Linked DNA regions of Arabidopsis thaliana. The protein of the gene in region 1 purifies or fractionates together with the protein of each later gene. This does not show direct contact. Each region holds a gene or a part of one and is shown in the gene's direction. Other genes may lie near its edges.

Region 1 (3,096 bases):
AAATCAAAATTTGCTTATTCCTCCTTCCCTAAACAATACACCAATACGAATGCATCAATACACATTTGTCGCGCATATACAATTACGAATTTTCTTCAAGGATCGAGATCAATTACCTTAAAAAAAAAAAGCCGCGAAATGATTTACCGTTCGGACAAAACAAAAGTGAAAATTGGATCGAGATCGGAAGCAGGAGTTACGATAAGAAGGAATCGTAACTCCGGTTGGGATTACAGAGAGGAAGAGAGATGACGAGAGAGAAAGAAAACAAATCTAGCAGGCGACTCTGTCAGAATTCCTTATTTGGGGGTTCGATTTCTCTTATTTTTCTCTCTTTTTTTTTTTCTTTTTTTTTTGATGCTTTTTTGTTGTCATTTGGTTTTCGAGTTTAGCTGTTTAGGCATTGACCTCAGAAACAACCCGACGTTTTAGGCAGCTTTTTCTCCCATAGTTAGCTACGTTTCTCCATTTTTCAAGATTACTAATTTTATTAAAATATTACTATAATAAATAGATTTTTATTTACATTTTCCATAATCTGAATGAAATCAAATATATGCAAATATCAAAAGTATCACCTGATCACCAATTCCTAGTTTTGTCCAATGATACTGATGATTCATCAGCCGATTGATTGAAGGAACAAATTTGAAGTTTTCCACTGCTAGTTGAATTATGGTTAGTTCATTTGACTTATCAAAATCAAATGACTAAAATATTCGAATTTTCTTACATGCTGTAGAGATTAATTTCAATTTTAATTCATCATCCCATTATCTATATAAGAAAAAAGTAGAAACATTTCGCGAAATACAATCCACCTTCTGGGTTGTTGTCTTGTTGAATATGGTCAGGAAAATAAGACCATTAAAGCTTCAACCTCCAAGCCAAAGAGCAAATAAAATACTACTGATTAACGCAAAAACATGGAAAAAAAATAAAGTCTGCAAATTGGCATGTTGACATGTTGTACGCGTAGCTTTACAACCTCACAGGTCGTTTTTTTTGTGTGACAGTTTTAACCCCCAAAATCTCTTTCTTTTTGTTTTTCCCTAAAGTAAAAAATAAAAATCTAACATGTCCGAAGTCGAACCAAACATAAACATACAGGTGTTCGAAACTAGTTAACACAATAACACCTCTAGATATATATATGATTATGGTATTACTTTTCTTTGGTGATTTTTTTGTTGGGAGAGAAACATAAATAAACAAGTTGGCCCATATTCCAGCGATTTTCCTCACCCTTCTTTGATATCTCAGTTTATAAAAGTCATGATACTAATAAATTAGAGTATACTCAAAGAAAAATCAGAAAATACACCCAAAAAAGCAAAAATGTGAGAAAGAGAAACATGTTGTTGTCCGCTGTATGGCGTCATAAGCCATTCTAGAATCATTGAAATGCATATTTAATCCTCTCTGGTAATTCCAAAAAAGCGATGAGGGTATTAACGTAAATCCACCAGAAGACGAGAAAGTGGGGATGGTGGAAGGAGAGATGATAAGAGAGATGGAAACGCGTCTCTCTATGAGGCCCATATTCCATTCTTACCTCTCTCTACCTCTCTATCTCTCTCTCCTCATAATCGATCCGTAAACTCGCCGGAGGAGCAGGGAGATTCAATAAGACGATGGCTCAGAGAACGGAGAAGGAAGAGACCGAGTTCAAAGTTCTCGAAACCTTGACGACAACAACAACGACGTTATGTACCAATAACTGCGGCGTTACAGCGAATCCTGCGACGAACAACATGTGTCAGAAATGTTTCAACGCATCTCTCGTCTCGGCGGCCGCAGGTGTTGTTGAATCAGGTTCGATCTTGAAGAGATCGGCTAGATCTGTCAATCTTCGTTCGTCACCAGCTAAAGTCGTGATTCGTCCAAGAGAGATCGATGCGGTGAAGAAGAGAGATCAACAGATCGTAAACCGATGTTCTGGTTGTCGGAAGAAAGTTGGGTTGACCGGATTCAGGTGCCGATGCGGTGAGCTTTTCTGCTCAGAGCACCGTTACTCCGATCGTCATGATTGTAGCTACGACTACAAAACCGCTGGTCGTGAGGCGATCGCTAGAGAAAATCCGGTGGTCAAGGCTGCGAAAATGGTCAAAGTTTAAAAAATTAAAAATTCGATCTCAACCGTTGAAAAACTTGTGGTGGTTCAAAAGCTCCGATCGGAAGAGAGATTGGTCGGAGAGACATGGATTTGATTTGGTGATGTGTTGTAAAAGAAGATCAGAGAGATTATTCCTCTCCTCAAATCAAAATCTGAACCTCAATTTTTTTTTTTACGTTTTTTTTTCATCTTTTAATTTATATATTAGTGAATGATTATTAATATTATTATTGTGTGGCTTACGGATTCATGAATTTGCTTCTTGATCATCGAGAAATGGTGTATGTAAGAGACGAAGGGGTTGTTTGGTAATTTAGGAACATGTCTTTCTGGTTTCGTTTCGTTTCGTGTGGTAGATGTACTTATCACGATACTACTAGTCCATTGTGCGTCACAACTCACAAAGCCAATTTCTATCAGACAAGTTTGCTTGGCGTATAAAATAGCAAAGCCAATAACGTGTTTGAGTTTGTATGGGTTATCATCTTCTTGTGTTCCATTATTTTTATAGATTTGTATATTTTAAAGCATAACATATTAAACTATACATTAGACTTTTGTTTTCTTTTAATAATATTAACATGAGCTTACTCATTCTACGAGTTTTTTATGTGAATTATTTTCAACGCATACAAAAATATCTTGCATATATCTTAAAAGTCCAACAAAATACTGTTCTTTCATGCAACTATCATTGTAGCCAGACTATAGTTATATCTACTTAATAAAATGTGTAAAAAAGTAAGTTCATTGGGACAATTTTCAATTGTCATCTAAAAATTGCAACAAAATACTGTACTTTCATGCAACTATGATTATTTATAACTCTAGTCAGAAAAAAAAAACTGACGGAAAAAAAAAAAGTCAGAAAAAAAAACTAAAAGTTGGAGCACCTAATTAGGCCCAACCCAATAGTGAAAATATAAATGTGTTGTTTTAAATTGAAACACAAAACGCACCGTTTATAATTAAAAGAAATT
Region 2 (6,865 bases), on another chromosome or scaffold:
TTCCAAAACTTTTTTTACCTTGTTCTGATATTGATGCAGCGTATCTTGAAGACAAATGCTCCTCCGGTATTCATCACGTCCGAGGAGATTGTTTATTGCTTTACTTTTGGGTTTAGTTTCATATGGACTTAATTAATGTATATTTGGGCTTTGAATATTTGATATTAGTTTGCTTATTCTTTAGGCTAGGGTTTCCATTCTTTTTCTCTTATTTTAAGAGATGTAATTCATTATTGTAATTAGTTTTTGATTATTGAATAAACGAGTTTTAAGAGAGCTTGTCTAAAGCCTAGAGAGGAGGACTCTCAACCCTAAAAGCTTGTGTTCAAGCCCTGCAAGGAGGATTTGCAAAACCTCATCGATATCGTTATCGATCTCGACCTTATCTCTATTGCTTCTTCATCAAGTTTCGGCGTTCTAAACAAAATCCGTTCGTTAATCCGAGTTCTCATAGAGATTTTGTGTTTTCGTCCGTTATTTAGCTTCCGCTCTCCATCAGATATTACTTTTGTTCAGTAGACCATTCATAAATACCTGCCTTGGATCCAAAAATAGGACAAATAAACATCATTTGCATCATTTTATTATTCTTAAAAGAAATTGCAAATTTTTGACCAAATTGCAAATATTTTGTTTTTAGGTTATACCCAATACCCACATACTGTATTATAGTCGTAATAAAAAAAGGAAAAGTTGCAAAATAAGTAGAGGACAGTGAGAAGTTGGTAACTATATATGTTTTGGTTAATTTAGTTATGGGTATGGAGTCTATAACGTATGGTTTCGATATTTCCAATAATTAGCAATCGTGTATCTTCGTTAGCATCAACATTGTTGTATTTTATTTAGTGCACACCTTCTCATAATTTCTAAATCAATAAAATTTTAATATCATTTTATCTTGGTATATGTCACTATGTATGTGGTTATTTTTATGCTTCCATGTTTTTATTTTTTTTGCCATGGAACCATTAGCTTAGGTTGAAAATCATCGATTGTAAACCTATCATGTTTTCATTTTTATGAAATATTAGGTGATCATCCGCGCTACACCACGGTTTTTTCGGATGTTTTTGTATTGTTTAATTTAAATATAATTTTTATTTATCTTATCATTTACTCATGCAATAAGCAATTACATTTAGTATTAAAATATTTTTTTCTAACCACATTCTCAACAATGCATCATACACATAATTTCTAAACAATGTTTATCTTAAACCAATTTAACAGAGGGTAGTGTTGGATTCTATAAACCTAAGAATTTAATGATGGAGCTCCTTACATATTCTTCACCCTCAGTTATTTATTATATAAATATCAATTTAAGAGAATATAAACATCAATTTAAGAGAATATAAACATCAATTTAAGAGAATAACTTAGTTAAATTATTAAGTAATATACTCATACTTTGAGTTTGGATTACCATAAAAATCTTCGAGTATGAGAAAACTATTAAAATGATTTTATTAAAAAATCATGTGATATTAAAATAAATTTAGTAAAAGTACAATTAAATATGTATAATAAAATAATATGTAAAATTAAATATAAATATATCATTAAACTATAGATTTGAAATTGAAGAGATTACATTAATTATTTAATAAACACATGTCAAATGCTAAAGTGATGATGTGTCTATCATATGAAGAGAGTTGGCCAACTTTCATATATATAATTTACGAAAAAAAAAAAAAAAAACAAATATTCAAGATCTCTTTCTTGATATGGGCCAATTTGATACGAAACATTTTCCAGCCATAACCTTTCGTTTTACTTTATACGGGCTATAGGCCCATTATGGGTTAACGTGTAGGCCCAATAAGGTGTTTTTTCAATTTGGTTTGCATTTGGTGTGTGTGTGTGTGTCAGCTACAATTTCTCAAGGAGAGGCGCGTGTAAATCAAACGGATAATCCTACGGTTTTGATGAAATGGCTTCTCGTAGACCTCACAATCTCTAAACATCTCTTCTCTTTATACGCTCTTCTTCTAGAAACCTCTCTTACCTCACTCTCCTTAAACCTTTAATAGGGTTTTTAGGTTACTCTTTGTTCAACTACTACAAACTCTTTTCTCTTTAGAGATTGAGAGATTGTAAAAAAATCTCAAATCTTTTCCTTCACAACTTTCAAATCTAATGGCTCCTGCTTTGAGTAGAAGTCTCTACACATCTCCTTTGACTTCAGTTCCAATCACTCCTGTCTCTTCTCGTCTCTCTCATCTGAGAAGCTCGTTTCTCCCACACGGCGGCGCTTTAAGAACCGGCGTTTCGTGTAGCTGGAATCTCGAAAAGAGATGTAACCGATTCGCCGTGAAGTGTGACGCCGCCGTGGCGGAGAAAGAGACCACTGAAGAAGGGTCAGGTGAGAAGTTTGAGTACCAAGCTGAGGTGGGTTCTCTTTCATATCTCCTAAAGTTTCAATCTTGTTTTCTGGGTATCTCTCAACTTGATGGGGATATAAAGTTTTAAGATTTGATTGTTGAAATCTTATCACAGGTTAGTAGATTGTTGGATTTGATTGTTCATAGCTTATACAGTCACAAGGAGGTGTTTCTCAGGGAGCTTGTAAGGTGAGTCAATTTTGATGGATTGTTTTGGAAATGATTTGTGTGTTTCTGTCAAAATCTGATTTTGAATGTGTCTGTGTATGTTCAGTAATGCAAGTGATGCTTTGGATAAGCTGAGGTTCTTGAGTGTAACAGAGCCTTCTTTGCTTGGAGATGGTGGAGATCTTGAGATTAGGATTAAGCCTGATCCTGATAACGGCACCATCACCATAACGTATGAGAGACTTCTCATTTTTTGTTTTACTTAAGTATTGAAAATTGAATAGAACAGGTTTACTTAGAGAGGTTTGATGCGTATATGCAGTGATACTGGTATTGGAATGACAAAGGAAGAACTTATTGATTGCCTTGGAACTATTGCTCAAAGTGGTACTTCGAAATTCTTGAAGGCTCTAAAGGTTTTTTTTCCATCTCTTTGAAAACCTGTTGCTAGCAAATCTTTGATGTCATGTTTTCGGACTCATTGTTTTATTGCTCTCTTTATTCAGGAAAACAAGGACCTTGGTGCTGACAACGGTTTGATCGGACAGTTTGGTGTTGGGTTTTACTCTGCTTTCTTAGTTGCTGAGAAGGTGAAGACTTTCAACTTTTGTTTTTTAGTGTCTTCTGGTTAATGTATTTCTTACGAGGAATGGACGTACAATTGTCTTTGCTTTCAGGTTGTTGTGTCCACCAAAAGCCCCAAATCTGACAAGCAATATGTTTGGGAATCGGTTGCCGATAGTAGCTCGTATCTGATCAGAGAAGAAACAGACCCTGATAACATTCTACGTCGTGGAACACAAATCACCTTGTATCTGAGGGTACTTTTCTTTATTCATTCATCCTTTCATTTGATGCGTCAGATCTCTTATAGTTTGTTTGACTGCTTATTCCTGGCTGCAGGAGGATGATAAATACGAATTTGCGGAGTCTACAAGGATCAAGAACCTCGTGAAGAATTACTCTCAGTTCGTTGGGTTTCCTATCTATACATGGCAGGAGAAATCAAGGACTATAGAGGTGAGGATGAAAGTTTTGTTTTTGTAATCATATTAGTGTATTCACATTGCTAATATGGTTTAAAATTTGTAACTTGTGGTAGGTCGAAGAGGACGAACCAGTTAAGGAAGGAGAAGAGGTAAAAAAATTATGTTGTTTTAATTGTGTGTATCAACTATCAAACAGTCACAACCAAAAGACTGTTCTAGAATTTTGTTTACTGAGTTGATTTTGTTACTTGTTTGTTTCCAGGGTGAGCCAAAGAAAAAGAAGACCACTAAAACTGAGAAGTATTGGGATTGGGAACTAGCCAACGAGACCAAACCGCTATGGGTAAGCCTTGGAGCTTTAGCCTGCGTTTTGTACTTTTCTTTCAACATGTTTACTGATTATTTTGTGTCTTTGAATAGATGCGCAATTCGAAGGAAGTGGAAAAAGGAGAGTACAATGAGTTCTACAAAAAGGCTTTCAATGAGTTCTTGGATCCACTTGCTCACACACACTTCACAACTGAGGTCTTTATACTTATACACTATACACTATATTTATGTCAATTTATGAATTCTTCAATTGGTGCTTACTAGTCTCTGTATTGTCTTGATTATTAAAGGGTGAGGTTGAGTTCAGGAGCATTTTGTACATCCCTGGGATGGGTCCTCTTAACAATGAAGATGTTACAAACCCGAAAACAAAGAACATTCGTCTCTACGTGAAGCGTGTGTTTATCTCTGACGATTTTGATGGAGAGCTTGTGAGTCTTTTATGGGTTCTTTCTTATGTAGAAATCTCTTTAGATTTGTGGTTCAATTTTTATCTGACTATGTTACCTAATCTGTTTGCAGTTCCCGAGATATCTGAGCTTTGTGAAGGGAGTTGTGGACTCTGATGATCTTCCTCTTAATGTTTCTCGTGAAATTCTCCAAGAAAGCAGAATTGTGAGTGGTGCAACTGTTAGTGATACAAATGTTTATCATATATGAATATCACAAATTGTAACTGTACTATCTTTCGTGATAATGTTCAGGTAAGAATCATGAGAAAGAGGCTCATTAGAAAAACCTTTGACATGATACAAGAAATCTCTGAGAGTGAAAACAAAGAGGTAGGTATCTCATTATCCTAATTTTGTTTTGAGCTCATTTGAAAGCCAGGGATATTCATGTTGTACAAACAATTCTAGGATTACAAGAAATTCTGGGAGAACTTTGGTAGATTCCTTAAATTGGGTTGTATTGAAGACACCGGTAACCACAAGCGTATCACACCGCTACTTAGATTCTTCAGTTCCAAGAATGAAGAGGAATTGACAAGCTTGGATGATTATATCGAGAACATGGGAGAGAACCAAAAGGCGATCTACTACCTCGCAACTGATAGTCTTAAAAGTGCCAAGTCTGCCCCTTTCTTGGAGAAACTAATCCAAAAAGATATCGAGGTATATGCTTCAAGACTTGTTTTTCAACTTCGAGTTTCTGTTTAGATTTGACTTTCTCACCACTTGCTTTTGTTAATTATAGGTTCTATATTTGGTTGAACCAATCGATGAAGTTGCTATTCAGAATTTGCAAACCTACAAAGAAAAGAAATTCGTTGATATCAGTAAAGAAGATTTGGAACTCGGTAAGTATGGTTTAGCACTGCTGACTGCCCGCACATTTCTCTCAACCATTTGTTTGTAACAAAACGTGTCCATTCTCGCAGGAGATGAAGATGAAGTAAAGGACAGGGAAGCGAAACAAGAGTTTAACCTTCTCTGTGACTGGATAAAACAGCAGCTCGGTGACAAAGTTGCAAAAGTCCAAGTCTCAAACCGTTTGAGCTCTTCTCCTTGTGTGCTTGTCTCTGGCAAATTCGGGTGGTCAGCTAATATGGAAAGGTTAGTACTTCAGCAAAAGCTTTATAACCTGAAATCCACATACCATAAAACTTATGTGCTTGTTCATTGACTTATGTGCTTATTCATTGTGAAAGGCTAATGAAGGCACAGGCTCTTGGAGACACTTCAAGCCTGGAGTTCATGAGAGGTAGGAGAATACTAGAGATCAATCCAGATCATCCCATCATCAAAGACTTGAACGTAAGTGTGTGGTATAATATTCTCTCAGAAATCTCTTGTCTCGAAAAAGCCTTATTAATTTTTGTATTCTTTTGGTACAGGCTGCTTGTAAGAATGCACCAGAGAGCACTGAAGCAACAAGAGTGGTCGATCTCTTGTATGACACTGCTATAATATCAAGTGGATTCACTGTAAGAAATCTGAAACCTTTCTTGTTTCCCAGTAAAAGTCTTGGACCATTTTACTCACTTATATGTGTTTGTTGTACAGCCTGATAGCCCGGCCGAGCTCGGGAACAAGATATATGAGATGATGGCAATGGCGGTTGGAGGAAGATGGGGCAGAGTTGAAGAAGAAGAAGAAAGCTCGACTGTGAATGAAGGAGATGACAAAAGCGGAGAAACAGAGGTAGTTGAACCATCTGAAGTGAGGGCAGAGAGTGATCCTTGGCAAGATTGATCCTTTTTTACCTTCTTTTGTTTGCAGTGATTTTTTTTTGACAGAACGCTTTATCTTTCCATTAGCAGTATCATGGGCCTAATGAAAGCCCATAATTAAATCACGCGTGAACGAGATTTATCCAATACAGTATTTGTAGTTTTTTTTTGATAATTAAAATAATTTTAGAGAATTTACACAAAAAAAGCTTTTAACAAAAATATTTACGAATATTTGAAAAATATTTGCATTTGAGTTGTATTAAATATTCTGAATTTACATCCTCTTATTATTAAAAAGAAAATACAAATTGAAAAATAGTCTAATCTGCCATCAATTTTCAATTTTGGATTTTGTACATTATTAATCAAAATCGTCTATGGTAATTTGGTCATCACTCTATATTCCTTAAATACACTATATTTCAAATTTAAATAATATTTCTTAAACACACTATATTCAATACTTATCACCTATTTATTGTTTTTTCAAAGATTTAAAAAAACTAAATATAAAAAATCAATCTAAAATAAACCAAAAATATAGTTATTAATTTTACATATTTTTTATTAAAAATATTATGTTGGCAAACAATATTAAGAGCTCGCGAATTAATTAGTGGAGCGGATTAGAATTTACAATAATTCATAATTATGCATATGGAATAAATTATATTTAAAAATCAATATTCGATATATCAAAATATGGTACAATCACACATTTTCCGGATATTATTTAAACTAATAATCTTAACGGTCCATTAAAACTTTCCAAATCAAAATGATTTCCAAATCAATCATTTGATGGAAAATTT

What was found. The genes of interacting proteins can lie anywhere in the genome.
Region 2: the proteins of SAP5 (region 1) and CR88 purify together in Arabidopsis thaliana (affinity purification with western blotting, with the first as the bait; one study listed by BioGRID). This does not show direct contact.

Annotation. Positions count from the first base shown.
Region 1 is NC_003074.8:4,011,073-4,014,168, forward strand, and holds SAP5 (A20/AN1-like zinc finger family protein), read left to right. Parts: upstream 1-1,535; 5' UTR 1,536-1,634; coding exon 1,635-2,117; 3' UTR 2,118-2,511; downstream 2,512-3,096. UniProt on the Arabidopsis thaliana protein: May be involved in environmental stress response.
Region 2 is NC_003071.7:1,279,838-1,286,702, forward strand, and holds CR88 (Chaperone protein htpG family protein), read left to right. Parts: upstream 1-1,916; 5' UTR 1,917-2,145; coding exon 2,146-2,397; intron 2,398-2,505; coding exon 2,506-2,579; intron 2,580-2,664; coding exon 2,665-2,790; intron 2,791-2,880; coding exon 2,881-2,974; intron 2,975-3,064; coding exon 3,065-3,148; intron 3,149-3,235; coding exon 3,236-3,379; intron 3,380-3,461; coding exon 3,462-3,578; intron 3,579-3,660; coding exon 3,661-3,696; intron 3,697-3,809; coding exon 3,810-3,890; intron 3,891-3,967; coding exon 3,968-4,072; intron 4,073-4,167; coding exon 4,168-4,308; intron 4,309-4,399; coding exon 4,400-4,492; intron 4,493-4,581; coding exon 4,582-4,659; intron 4,660-4,737; coding exon 4,738-4,992; intron 4,993-5,074; coding exon 5,075-5,177; intron 5,178-5,258; coding exon 5,259-5,433; intron 5,434-5,528; coding exon 5,529-5,634; intron 5,635-5,714; coding exon 5,715-5,804; intron 5,805-5,883; coding exon 5,884-6,072; 3' UTR 6,073-6,307; and 1 more. UniProt on the Arabidopsis thaliana protein: Molecular chaperone required for chloroplast biogenesis. Essential for chloroplast biogenesis and maintenance, and thus for embryogenesis. May be involved in the disassembly of VIPP1 for thylakoid membrane formation and/or maintenance.